Anolis sagrei: one gene and its partner. The protein of the gene in region 1 interacts with the protein of each later gene in a pairwise test. Links are inferred from orthologs where the notes say so. Each region holds a gene or a part of one and is shown in the gene's direction. Other genes may lie near its edges. The genes, in order: DCP1A and EDC3.

Region 1 (7,323 bases):
CTTTCCCATTGCTGTTGTGAGAAGAACAGAAGGATTAAAATTAGCGATCCACGGCATCTGTCCTTTTAGGATCACTGCTGTGGTTTACAGCCTTTTCTTTCTTTCTTTCTTTCTTTTTTTTTACAATGAGCATTTCCTATCTATTCGCTTCACCTTAAATGGGTGAAAGAAAGTTAAATTCATAACTATAGGGAACACTCCAGTAGAGTAAATGTTTCTTTTATGCTGTTATACTTGTACTTCATTAGATTACATGGTTTCAATTATTCATAGTTCCTTTAATGCTTCCTTTTCCATATAATTTCCTAAAGGATTTCACCAGCTTCGGAAGAAAGAACAAACAGCCTATCGATTTGCATTAGTCTCCCTGTTCTGCCTGAGAGGCCTGGAGGTATCTACACTTAAAAGACAAAATAGCAGAAAGAACACGCTTCTGTCTCCCCCAATCTGGTGCTCTCCAAGTGCTTTAATTTAAATTTCCCAAAAGCCTCAGAGAGCATAGGCATTGGTCAAAGGTGATGGGAGATGCAATTCAACAATTCAAAAGGCTACCAAGCTGGGAAAGGCTAGTATAACTACATAAAACAGTTGTTCTATATCATAAACAGGTTTCATAAGTTATTACACACATTTTGTTCAGTGTAAATAGGGTGTGATTGCTATCGGATCTGTGAAAAAAGAACTTCTAAAATAAAGCATGGCTCCCATGCCTGCAGGACTTGTCCACCTCCAACAAAATATATCCTTTCTAGAAATTCTGTGGTGTGCTTATACCAGAAGTTATTAAGGTAAAGGTTTCCCTTGACATTGAGTCTAGTTGTATCTGATTCTAGGGGGCGGTGCTCATCTCTGAAAAGCCAGCATTGTCTGTAGATACCTCCTAGGCATGTGGCCAGCATGACTACATGGAGCGCTGTTACCTTGCTGCCGAAGCGATACCTATTGATCTACTTGCATTTGCATGTTTTCGAACTGCTAGGTTGGCAGAAGCTGGGCCTAACAATGGGAGCTTACCTTGCTCTCTGGATTCGAACTGCTGACCTTTCAGTCAGCAAGTTCAGCAGCTCAGCGGTTTAACCCGCTGTGCCACCAAGGGACCCTCCAGATGTAATTACATAATGGTATTGGACGATCTAGCAAATTCCTAGAGGATACCTCTTTAGACATTTTCGAGGTCCTCAAGGGAGGTTCTATACTAGTAAGAAGTTATTTATTTCAATAGGGTTAGCTATTATCCATGGTTTCCTGTTTCCCCTGCAAATTTTAGGAACACATTCCTCACTGATACAGGAGTTGTATTGTATTACAAAGCAGAATGATTCTTACATTAAATTCTTGAACTAATATAATTAGTTCTGCTTGCAATGTGCTTTTATATTACATTATACTACATAATGCAATTATAATGTCATTATATTGTATATTAGAAATGTTATTAGGCTGGATATTTTTTGTTGCTTAAACAGATTTAAAATATAATAATATATATGCTTATAATATTATTTTTATTGTAAAACAATGTCTATATTATAATGTAATGTTTCTTTAGAATAAGCCCATATATTTGGGATTAGGACCCAGGGTTTAAGAAACAATGCTCTAAACCAGTTCTACTTCAGAGTGGCAGTGCCAGGACCAAAGGTGGTCCCAGAGCCATTGGTTGCTGGTGTCTGCCAAGTTTCCAGGGAAAAAAAGGAAACATTTGGACTCAATACACACAATGTTTATCCATCTTTTATACTACATACATAGAAATTAAGTATTTTATCCCAATGTCATGAAATTTGGTATGTTATCAAATGAGACAAAAAGTCCACGGTAAGGTTTTGGATCTCATCTGTCAACTGCTTTGGATACCTCCCAAGCAAACATTACTGTTTAATTAAGTGATAACTCTCTCTATCCAAAGAGTGCTTTTTTGTGAAGTGGTTCCCCAGTGCCTTATTAAGAGCACTGCACTGGGCACCACTCCATCACCATATATTTAGTATAGTCTGTGCCCGCCCAGTCATTCATATTTCTTTCCATAAGAGATTACTGGAAAAGGTACCCACCATATAAGAATATCAGCTAATGATACAGAATCGGGGTGGGGAGGCATGGGGTAACCCATTTAAGAACATACACTCTACTCAAATTCAAAATTCATATTAGAGAACTGAAGAAGAAAATACTCTATCAGAGGCAGGAATTCGGCAGCTTTGACCACATGAAGCTCAAGAAGGCTTAGATTTATTTCTCATTGTTCCTCAACATTTTGGAAAACTCTGCCGCCAGTGATGAGAATATCACCTCCAAGGTCACAAAAACAGTGTCATTTGGTCTCCAGGGTCCTGGAGAAGCTGCAGATGCAGTTCATACAGCAACCTATATTGCAAATGCAGTACATACAAATAAGTAAGGGTTGGGGTGAAGGGAGAAGAAACTGACTGACTTCATGGTGTTGACAAATGTTTTAACTGCTTTTAACCAAATGATTTATTTATTGTTTTAAACTATTGCTATATTGTTGTTTGTTTGTATTTATGGCATCGAATTGTTGCCAATGTAAGCCATCCTGAGTCCCCCTTCGGGGACTGTGTGTATATGTGTGTTTGGGTATATATGTGGTTTTGCGCGTGCGTTGTAATATATTTTTTGTGGAGGCTTTTTTTTTGCTTTTGAAGTCTCTTCTGCTGTGTTTTTCAGTGTTTTTATGAGTGATGGTCACTCGTTGGCCTGATGTTATGTTTTTGTAATACAGGCATCGAATTGTGCCTTGTTTGTGTAAGCCGCCCTGAGTCCCCCCGGGTGAGAAGGGCGGGGTATAAGCAACCGTAATAATAATAATAATAATAATAATAATAATAGGTGTATTGTGTCCAAATCTGGTGTCAATTCACCCAGTGGTTTGTGTGCTGTCGCCTGGGCCTGTGCATCAGACTGTAGACAGGACATAAATTCTGTGTGCCCAACGGGATGCCGGGGCTGCCTCAGATTAAAGGCCTTTGGATTTTCTTAAAACAGAGTCTTTAGATTGCTTAAAGGTTCAACCAAGTTCTTTATTAATGAAAACAAACAGGTACTTTAAGGCTTTCTTAACAGTCTATTGGCTCTCTCTCAATCTTGTCCACAGGGAACAGGCACTATATTCATAACTGTAACTAATGGGGAAATCCTTAACTTCTAATCTGGGCAGTCTATCTTTGCCTCTGTTGGCGTGGAGCCCCTGCACCCGGTACCAACTGCTTCTGGCTTCCGCAAGTGACCCTTACCAAGCAGAGCTTTGTAGACTTCCAGGGGAAAAGAACTCAGGTTTCCGTGATGGCTAACTGAAGTCCTTCAGCAAAGGAACTGTAGGGCTGTATAACCCCGGCCAAGCTGTGAGCTGTATATCTCCCCGGCCAAGCCGTAGAAGACGAAGCTTTCTACAGGAGCTCTTGGTATTATGTCCTACATGGAAGGCTTCTCTGTGTGGACTGACCCAAAACTGGCTCCTATTCCCTCCCAAAAACCCAAAAGGGGGCGGGACCAGGGAACCTAACTATAATTGACAGGTGGCTTGCCCTATGATTGCAGCCAAAAGAAGCCACCTATCTGCAGAGTCCCTGAAACTTAGGACTACAGCAAACATTCAGTGCAAAGCAAACAAAATTGGAGCTCCTGGTACAGCTGTACCAGCAGAGTTTGTGGGATTATGTTAATCCCACAATGTGCAAACATACATGCACATATGACACACAACCCCAAAAACGTTAAAATTAAACCTCCTTTATGTGTATGTGTGTGTGTGCAATCATACCTGGGCATATATGACCCACAACTCCAGAAACCTCTTTGACATTAAACCTCATTGGGTCCCAATTTTTACAGAAAACTCCATCACGTGCCACCCCAAACACTGAAGAGCCGGAAATGTATTTCTAGGTGAAACAGTTTCCGTCGCGGCAATCGTTAAATAGCAGTCAGAGCTGCGGAAATACATTCATTTGGGTTTCTTTCCCGGCGTTGCCCATTCCCTTCTGGAATTAGTTCAGTTGAGAGAAACACCAAGGACGGGTTAGAGAGGCGCAGCAGAGTGGAACGCAAAGCCGGGCGAAGGCGGTTTCCGACCGGCGGCTAGAGAGGGACGGACCAGTGCGGGTGACGCTCCCTGGGCCTCCCCTCCTTCCCTTCCCCGCCGCGGCCGAGGTCCCGGATCCAAGATGGCGTCTCTGAGTCAAGCGGGGCAGGAGATGAGCCTGGCGGCCTTAAAGCAGCACGACCCCTACATCACCAGCATCGCCGACGTGACCGGCCAGGTGGCCCTCTACCGCTTCAGCCCCAAGGACAACGAGTGGGTGAGTCCACGGGGCCCCGCTCGCTGGGAGGGAAGGAGAAGGGCCCCGGCCCCTTTGGCGGCCATTCGCAGAAACACGCCCACCTTTCGGAGTTCCCACAGAAGCTGCTGCTGCTGCTCTTAGCGCAGGCCTGGGCCAACTTGGGCCTTCCAAGTGTTTTGGACTCCAACTCCCACCATAAGCGGCTGAGGGGGAAAAGGAAAGGGCCTGAGGCTGTTAGGAATGGTGGGAGTTGGAGTCCAAAACACCTAGAAGGCCCAAGTTGGCCCAGGCCTGCGCTAGTAGCTCCTGTTTGCTCCTTGTCTTGTGAGTTTTATATTCACCTTCTATTTCTATTGTATGTTTATCACTCTTGCACCGTGAATTGTAATACAGATATTTTGTGGCCGTGTTTTTCAATGTAAATATTTTAGGGTATTATTATTATTGAATCATAGAGTTGGAAGAGACTTCGTGGGCCATCCAATCCAGCCCCCTGACAAGAAGCAGGACAATTGCGTTCAAAGCACCCCCGACAGATGGCCATCCAGCCTCTGTTTAAAGGCCTCCATAGAAGGAGCCTCCACCACACTCCGGGGCAGAGAGGTCCCCCCCTGAACAGCTCTCACAGTCAGGAAGTTCATCCCAATGTTCAGGTGGAATCTCCTTTCTTGTAGTTTGATTTATATTTATTTAGGTTAAAGGTTTTCCCCTGACATTAAGTCCAGTCATGTCCAACACATCTCCATTTCTAAGCCAAACAACCACCGTTGTTCGTAGACACTTCCAAGGTCATGTGGCTGGCATGACTGGAAGATGCGCCACTACCTTACCACTGGAGCAGTACTTATTTATCTTCTCACATTCACATGTTTTCAAACTGTTAGGTTGGTGGAAGCTGGGGCGAACAGCAAGGTGCTCACGCCGCTCTCCAGATTTGAACCTGCAATATATTTATTTATACCCCACTTTATCTCCCCAAAGGGGACTCAAGGCAGCTTGACCTAAAAACATTAATATACCATTTAAAATAAACAAGATTGCAAGCATTCAATAGAATTAAACATCAGCAGCATTTGAAAAAAATCGCAGTTAAAATCCATCAAAACAGTTCAAAAGCACAGAACCCCCTGACTAGTTCTTGGACACCTTCATCTTTAAAAGTCTGTTTATTTATATCCTGCTTTTTTCTCTCCATACGGAGACTCAAAGTGGCTCACAACTAAAAGCGTTAAAATATACACGTATTAAAACAGGATTAAACATCATTTAAAACATATAAAATCACAGTGGTCCCTGATAATCTTTAAAACCTTCTTCTTTAAATGCCTGCCTGAATAAAAAGGTTTTAGCATGCCACCTGAAGGGTAGCAGGAGGGGGCCATTCTTGCTTCCCTGGGCAGGGAGTTTCAGAGTCGCAGGGCAGCTACCGAGAAGGAAGGCCCACTCTCTCATTCCCAATAACTTAACTTGAGATGGCGGTAGGACCAAGAGAAGGACTTCGCCCGGGTAGGCTCATACAAGTGGATGTGGTTGACCAAATAGCCTGGACTTGAACTGTCTAGGGCAGTCGTTCCACACCTTTTTTTTTTTCGACCAGCGACCATGCACCAACATTAGTACCAGAAGGGTTATGAATCCGTTTTTGGTCAATATTACATCTGGTTTGGTTATTTGGGATGCTTATTCAGAAAATTGCATTGGATGGATCACATCAACTCTAGTTTCTGATACAGAACATATGCCATCCAGTAGTCACCATCTGCTCACCCACAGAAAACCATATTTAATAAGCCTCAGCACTATAAGAGAGTTTTCCAAGACCAGTCACTCTTGTTGCAATGGTGTAGTAACAGTGAGGCTGTGAACCATAGTTTAGTTCTTTCAGACCACTGGTGGTCCACAGGCCACAGGTTGGGAATCACATGTCTAAGACTTTAAAGGTCATAACCAGCACTTCGAATTCTATCTGGTAACAGACTGGCAGCCAGTGGAGCTGTTTAAACAATAGGATTGTCTGCTTCCTGTAGCTAGCCCCAGTGAACAACATGTCTGCAGCTCTGTGGACCAGATGAAGTTTCTGAGCCCTCTTCAGAGGCAGCCCCACGTAGAGTGCATTACAGTAATCCAGACGATGTATGTATTTTATAGTAGTGTGTTTTAGCTGTGTTGTACCTGCTTTCAGCCATGAGGAGAGGTGGCTATCAAATAAAAATATTATTATCATCATTATTATTATCTTTCCCCTGAGATCCAATAGGTGTACAGTAGATCAGGGCTTCTTATACTTTTTCTTCCTGCAACCCTTTTCCACTTGAGAAATTTTTACATGATCCTGGGTATATAGGTACATTAAATAGGTATAAAAATCACACATTTACTGGTAATAAATCAACATTTGCAAGACTTGCTAAATAGGCTGATTTGTTTTCTGGAGTGTTTTCTGGGAAGTAAACACTTCATGTTGTTCCTAACTGATTTGTGTAAATAGATAGTGTTCAGAAACCTTTTACTGTTGCAATTTTTTTTGTTGCACCCAACATTGAACCAAGAAGAGACCACAGTTTTAGAAGGAGTGCAAGAGAGCTTAGGTTTGGTTCTAGGACCCCAACAGAAGTATCTGTTTAGGTTTGGTTCCAGGACCCCCCATAGAAGTGTGATGCTATGTGTTACAACTCCCCACAAAAGAAACAAATACTATCTCCTGCTCTTTGGATACCTTTCGTTACAAAGGAAGATTTAATAGTGTGCTATAACCTCTGCATGCAAAAATGTTTGCTCTAAAGTACAGAGAAAAACAAGAAGCAATGTAATAGTCAAGCAGAAGATTATTAGTGTTTCCAGGTAGATTTCATAGACTTTTTACATCCTTAGGATACAGCTATCTCTTCTTTCTGTTCATCATGTTAGGACCAACTCAGAAGGTGGTGTCCCATCATTTCTAGTGGTCATGGATAAAACACCATAACCTGCACTAGTCCTGATACTTCCCCCAACATTTATTTGCATGCTGCTTATGCGCTAC
Region 2 (7,713 bases), on another chromosome or scaffold:
ATTATATTGTATTGTATTGTATAATAAATAGTATATGTATATACAATATATTATATTATTAGTAAAGCACTTTAATATAATTATAATTAATAATTATTAGTATTATATTGTATTACATTATAATATTATAAATATTATATGTATACACAATATATTATATATTATTATTAATAATGCACTTTAATATAATTATAATTAGTAATTATTAGTATTATATTGTATTACATTATCATATTATAAAATATGTATATACAATATATTACATTATTAGTAAAGCACTTTAATATAATTATAATTAGTAATTATTAGTATTATATTGTATTACATTATATTATAAAATTATATGTATATACAATATATTACATTATTAGTAAAGCACTTTAATATAATTATAATTAGTAATTATTAGTATTATATTGTATTACATTATATTATAAATATTATATGCATATCCAGTATATTATATTATTAGTAAAGCACTTTAATATAATTATAATTAATAATTATTAATATTATATTGTATTACATTATAATATTATAAACATTATATGTATATACAATATATTACATTATTAGTAAAGCACTTTAATATAATTATAATATATAATATAACTAATATTAGTACTGTATTGTATTACATTATAATATTATAAATATTATATATATATATATATATATAATATTTATAATATTATAATGTAATACAATACAGTACTAATATTAGTTATATTATATATTATAATTATATTAAAGTGCTTTACTAATAATGTAATATATTGTATATACATATAATGTTTATAATATTATAATGTAATACAATATAATATTAATAATTATTAATTATAATTATATTAAAGTGCTTTAATATTATATATATATATATATATATCTCCAGCAAAGGATCACCGCCTTGTCGGGGCGCTGGAGCTTGAGCACCTCAATGATGTCATGAGTGAAACCGTGAAGGGCCACCCAAGACGGGACGGTCGTGGCAGAGAGGTCAGACCAAGCGTGATCCCTGGGGAAGGCAACGGCAAACCACCCCAGTATCCTTGCCAAGAAAACTAAATGGACCAGTACAACCAGAGATATGTCGGTATGCCATTGGAAGATGGGACTCCCAGGTCGGAAGATGGCCAAAATGCTACTGGGGAGGAGCAGAGGATAAGTTCAAGTAGCCCCAGATGTGATGACGCAGCTAGCTCAAAGCCGAAAGGAAGGCTAGCGGCCGACGGTACTGGAGGTGAACGACGAATCCGATGCTCTAAAGATCAACACACCATAGGAACCTGGAATGTAAGATCTATGAGCCAGGGCAAATTGGATGTTGTTATTGGTGAGATGTCAAGACTAAAGATAGACATTCTGGGGGTCAGCGAACTGAAATGGACTGGAATGGGCCACTTCACATCAGATGACCACCAGATCTACTACTGCGGACAAGAGGAACATCGAAGAAATGGAGTAGCCTTCATAATTAATAAGAAATTCGCTAAAGCGGTGCTTGGATACAACCCAAAAAATGACAGAATGATCTCAATTCGAGTGCAAGGAAAGCCTTTCAACATCACAGTGATCCAAATATACGCCCCAACCACAGCTGCTGAAGAAGCAGAAGTAGATCAGTTCTATGAGGATCTGCAGGAACTACTGGATAATACACCAAAAAGAGACATTATTTTCATTACAGGAGACTGGAATGCCAAGGTGGGAAGTCAAATGACAACAGGGATCACAGGCAAGCATGGTCTGGGAGAACAAAATGAAGCGGGACGCAGGTTGATAGAATTTTGCCAGGAAAACTCGCTGTGTATAACAAATACTCTCTTCCAACAACCTAAAAGACGGCTTTATACATGGACCTCACCAGATGGTCAACACCGAAATCAGATTGACTACATCCTTTGCAGTCAAAGGTGGCGGACATCCATCCAGTCGGTGAAAACAAGACCTGGGGCTGACTGTAGCTCAGATCACGAACTTCTTATTGCCCAATTTAGAATAAAACTAAAGAGTTCAGGGAAAATACACAGACCAGTTAGATATGATCTCACTAACATTCCTAGCGAATATACAGTGGAAGTGAAGAACAGATTTGAAGGACTAGATTTAGTAAACAGAGTCCCAGAAGAACTATGGACAGAAGTCCGCAACATTGTTCAGGAGGCAGCAACAAAGTACGTTCCAAAGAAAAAGAAAACCAAGAAGGCAAAATGGTTGTCTGCTGAGACACTGGAAGTAGCCCAAGAAAGGAGGAAAGCAAAAGGAAACAGTGAAAAGGGGAGATATGCCCAGTTAAATGCGCAATTCCAGAGGTTAGCCAGAAGAGATAAGGAACTATTTTTAAATAAGCAGTGCATGGAAGTGGAAGAAGACAACAGAATAGGAAGGACAAGAGACCTCTTCCAGAAAATTAGAAACATTGGAGGTAAATTTCAGGCAAAAATTGGTATGATAAGAAACAAAGATGGCAGGGACCTAACAGAAGCTGAAGAGATCAAGAGAAGGTGGCGAGACTATACAGAAGATCTGTATAGGAAGGATAACAATATCGAGGATAGCTTTGACGGTGTGGTGAATGAATTAGAACCAGACATCCTGAGGAGTGAGGTTGAATGGGCCTTAAGAAGCATTGCTAACAACAAGGCAGCAGGAGACGACGGGATCCCAGCTGAACTGTTTAAAATCTTAAAAGATGATGCTGTCAAGGTGATGCATGCCATTTGCCAGCAAATATGGAAAACACAAGAATGGCCATCAGACTGGAAAAAATCAACTTATATCCCCATACCAAAAAAGGGAAATGCGAAAGACTGCTCAAACTTCCGTACAGTGGCCCTTATTTCTCATGCCAGTAAGGTAATGCTCAAGATCCTGCAAGGAAGACTCCAGCAATACATGGAGCGAGAGTTGCCAGATGTTCAAGCTGGGTTTAGAAAAGGCAGAGGAACCAGAGACCAGATTGCCAATATCCGCTGGATAATGGAGAAAGGCAGGGAGTTTCAGAAAAACATCTACTTCTGCTTCATTGACTATTCTAAAGCCTTTGACTGTGTGGATCATAATAAATTGTGGCAAGTTCTTAGTGGGATGGGCATACCAAGCCACCTTGTCTCTCTCCTGAGGAATCTGTACAAGGACCAAGTAGCAACAGTCAGAACTGACCACGGAACAACAGACTGGTTCAAGATTGGGAAAGGCGTACGGCAAGGCTGCATCCTCTCACCCAACCTTTTTAACTTGTATGCAGAACACATCATGCGATGTGCGGGGCTGGATGAATGCAAAGCTGGGGTGAAAATTGCTGGAAGAAACATTAACAACCTCAGATATGCAGATGACACCACTCTGATGGCCGAAAGCGAGGAGGAGCTGAGGAGCCTTCTAATCAAGGTGAAAGAAGAAAGCGCAAAAGCCGGGTTGCAGCTAAACGTCAAAAAAACCAAGATTATGGCAACAAGAATGATTGACAACTGGAAAATAGAGGGAGAAACCGTGGAGGCCGTGACAGACTTTGTATTTCTAGGTGCAAAGATTACTGCAGATGCAGACTGTAGCCAGGAAATCAGAAGACGCTTACTTCTTGGGAGGAGAGCAATGTTCAGTCTCGATAAAATAGTGAAGAGTAGAGACATCAGACTGGCAACAAAGATCCGCCTAGTCAAAGCCATGGTATTCCCTGTAGTAACCTACGGATGTGAGAGCTGGACCTTAGGGAAGGCTGAGCGAAGGAAGATCGATGCTTTTGAGCTGTGGTGTTGGAGGAAAGTGCTGAGAGTCCCTTGGACTGCGAGAAGATCCAACCAGTCCATCCTCCAGGAAATCAAGCCCGACTGCTCACTGGAGGGAAAGATACTAGAGACAAAGTTGAAGTACTTTGGCCACATCATGAGGAGACAGGAAAGCCTAGAGAAGACAATGATGCTGGGGAAAGTGGAAGGCAAAAGGAAGAGGGGCCGACCAAGGGCAAGATGGATGGATGGCATCCTTGAAGTGACTGGACTGACCTTGAGGGAGCTGGGGGTGGTAACGGCCGACAGGGAGATCTGGCGTAGGCTGGTCCATGAGGTCACGAAGAGTCGGAGACGACTGAACGAATGAACAACAACAACAACAATATATATATATACACACACACAATCTATTATATTGTATTATTAGTAAAGCACTATAATATAATTATAATTAGTAATTAATAACTGGTAATCATGATCGATCATGATGATTGGCCCTCGACTCCGGAACTTTTCAAGGTGTTTCAGATCAATTCAGGAGTTGCTGTGGTTGTAGAGAGACTATTACTCCTCTAACACCAAGAAGGAAGCGTTGAACTCCAACCCCCATGATGCCACACCATGGGTCGCAACGGCTGGGGCTGATGGGAGTTGTAGTCCAATAGTCAGCCGCTTCCAGGGGCCGAGCAGGCTTTCTGCGCATGCGTGCTGCGAGTGGCACCTTCGCCTCTGGAGAAGGAAAGGCGTGCCGTGTCCTTTCTGCGCCTGCGTGAGCGCTGAGAGAAGGAGAAGCGGAAGTGACGCAGAAGAGCGGGGCAATGGCTTGTCGCTTCCGGTGTGAAGACGCTGTGAGGAAAAGCGGAGGGAGAAGCGAGTCAGTGAGTGAGTGAGCCGCTTTTGGGCCTGCTCGGCGCCTTATCCCCGGCCTAGAGTAGGGAGCAGGCCGAGGGAGGGCTTGGGGGCCTTCTCTTCCCTTCTGGGAGCCTTTGGGGCGGGGAGGAGGCCTCCCTTCCCCCGGGAAGGACCGCCCGGGGTCTCCTCGGCCTCGCCCCAGCCGGACCAGGCCTTTCGTTGTGAAAGGAAGGAGATTGAGTGACCTCCCCTGCCTCCCCCATTTAGCCAAAAGTTTGCAAACTTTTGGCTAAATGGGGGAGGCAATATATATTATTTTATTTATTTATTTCTCGTGTCAGAGCAGCCAGTCTATTATATTACATTTCTAACAGAACAAAGCAAACAAACAGAAAAATACACAACTTGTGAGTTTGGTAGTTGGTTAAATGTCCTTGGACCAGTATCTGGTCACTTGGAGTGCTTCTGGTGTTGCCACAAGAAGGTCCTCCATTGTGCATGTGGCAGGGCTCAGGTTGCATTGCAGCAGGTGGTCAGTGGTTTGCTCCTCTCTGCACTCGCATGTCGAGGATTCCACTTTGTAGCCCCATTTCTTAAGGTTGGCTCTGCATCTCGTGGTGCCAGAGCGCGGTCTGTTCAATGCCTTCCAAGTCGCCCAGTCTTCTGTGTGCCCGGGGGGGGGGGGGGGGTCTCTCATTTGGTATCAGCAATTGGTTGAAGTGCTGGGTTTGAGCCTGCCACTTTTGGACTCTCGATTGCTGAGGTGTTCCAGCGAGTGTCTCTGTAGATCTAAGAAAACTATGTCTAGATTTAAGTCGTTGGCGTGCTGGCTGATACCCAAACAAGGGATGAGCTGGAGATGTCTCTGCCTTGGTCCTTTCACTATTGGCTGCTACTTCCCGGCAGATGTCAGGTGGTGCAATACCGGCTAAGCAGTGCAATTTCTCCAGGGGTGTGGGGCGCAGACACCCCTTGATAATGTGGCATGTCTCATTAAGAGCCACATCCACTGTTTTAGCGTGGTGAGATGTGTTCCACACTGGGTATGCATACTCAGCAGCAGAGTAGCACAGCGCAAGACCAGCATGCAAGCAAGCAATATATAATATAATAATGTAATATTACAATCTTATAAATGTATTATATATAATAATAATAATAATAATAATAATAATGAACTACGGACAATGCAAACTTTTGGCTAAATGGGGGAGGCAATATATAATATAATAATGTAATATTACAATCTTATAAATGTATTATATATATATATATATATAATGAACTACGAACAATGCAAACTTTTGGCTAAATGGGAGAGGCAATATATAATATAATAAAGTAATATTACAATCTTATAAATGTATTTTATATTTATATATATATATAATGAACTACGGACAATGCAAACTTTTGGCTAAATGGGGGAGGCAATATATAATATAATAATGTAATATTACAATCTTATAAATGTATTATATATATATATATAAGACATTTATAAGAATGTAATATTACATTATTATATTATATATTTATAATGATATAAAATATTATTATATTAGTATTATATATTTATAATAATATAATATATTATTATATTGTTGTTGTTCATTCGTTCAGTCGTCTCCGACTCTTCGTGACCTCACGGACAAGCCCACGCCAGAGCTCCCTGTCGGCTGTCACCACCCCCAGCTCCTTCAAGGTCAGTCCAGTCTCTTCAAGGATGCCATCCATCCATCTTGCCCTTGGTCGGCCCCTCTTTCTTTTTCCTTCCACTTTCCCCAGCATCATTGTCTTCTCTAGGCTTTGCTGTCTCCTCATGATGTGGCCAAAGTACTTCAGCTTTGTCTCTAGTATCCTTCCCTCCAATGAGCAGTCTGGCTTTATTTCCTGGAGGATGGACTAGTTGGATCTTCTCGCAGTCCAAGGCACTCTCAGAACTTTCCTCCAACACCACAGTTCAAAAGCATCAATCTTCCTTCGCTCAGCCTTCCCTAAGGTCCAGCTCTCACATCCATAGGTTACTACAGGGAATACCATGGCTTTGACTAGGCGGATCTTTGTTGCCAGTCTGATGTCTCTACTCTTTACTATTTTATCGAGACTGGACATTGCTCTCCTCCCAAGAAGTAAGCGTCTTCTGATTTCCTGGCCACAGTCTGCATCTGCAGTCATCTTTGCACCTAGAAATACAAAGTCTGTCACGGCCTCCACATTTTCTCCCTCTATTTTCCAGTTGTCAATCATTCTTGTTGCCATGATCTTGGTTTTTTTTACGTTTAGCTGCAACCCAGCTTTTGCGCTTTCTTCTTTCACCTTGATTAGAAGGCTCCTCAGCTCCTCATCGCTTTCGGCCATCAGAGTGGTGTCATCTGCATATCTGAGGTTGTTAATGTTTCTTCCAGCAATTTTCACTCCAGCTTTGCATTCATCAAGCCCCGCACACCGCATGATATTATATTAGTATTATATATTTATAATAATTATAATATTATTATAAGGCTCTGGCATCAACCTGTCCAGGTGGTCCCAGTAGTCATTGGCTCATTGGGTGCCGTGCCCAAAGATCTCAGCCGGCATTTGGAAACAATAAACATTGCCAAAATCATGATCTGTCGACTGCTACTTACTTAGGTGATCCCTCGTAGTCTGAGGATGATGGTCCTCCAAGATCGGTGTCCTGGCGTTGTGTCCATAGGTGACTGTGGAGACTATTCTTGACCTGCATCTTCTCCCGCAGTGAGGGCATTGGTTTCCAGGTGGAAGGCAGTCCCGGTCGGGGTTGGCTTGACATGACTTCCTCTTGGCACGTTTCCCTCCTTCGCCCTCCATTCGTGCCTCTTCAGATTCTCCAGCACTGCTGGTCACATCTGACCTCCAGCTGAACCGCTCAAGGGCCAGGGCTTCCCAGTTCTCAGTGTCTATGCCAGGTTGGCTTTGAGCCCGTATTTCAATCTCTTTTCCTGCCCGCCAGCATTCCGTTTTCCGTTCTTGAGTTCGGAGTAGAGCAACTGCTTTGGGAGACGGTGGTCAGGCATCCGGACAACGTGGCCGGTCCAGCGGAGTTGATGGTGGAGGAGCATTGCTTCAGTGCTGGTGGTCTTGGCTTCATCCAGCAGGCTGA

What was found.
Region 2: the proteins of DCP1A (region 1) and EDC3 interact in binary tests that used the Homo sapiens proteins (3 or more experiments, as listed by UniProt). The two-hybrid records come from large-scale screens. The link is inferred for Anolis sagrei from reciprocal best matches to the Homo sapiens genes DCP1A and EDC3.

The regions. Positions count from the first base shown.
Region 1 is NC_090022.1:60,979,392-60,986,714, forward strand, and holds the start of DCP1A (mRNA-decapping enzyme 1A), read left to right. Parts: upstream 1-4,137; 5' UTR 4,138-4,184; coding exon 4,185-4,319; intron 4,320-7,323. UniProt on the Homo sapiens protein: Necessary for the degradation of mRNAs, both in normal mRNA turnover and in nonsense-mediated mRNA decay. Removes the 7-methyl guanine cap structure from mRNA molecules, yielding a 5'-phosphorylated mRNA fragment and 7m-GDP.
Region 2 is NC_090029.1:21,437,548-21,445,260, forward strand, and holds the start of EDC3 (enhancer of mRNA-decapping protein 3), read left to right. Parts: upstream 1-4,514; 5' UTR 4,515-4,552; coding exon 4,553-4,616; intron 4,617-7,713. UniProt on the Homo sapiens protein: Binds single-stranded RNA. Involved in the process of mRNA degradation and in the positive regulation of mRNA decapping. May play a role in spermiogenesis and oogenesis.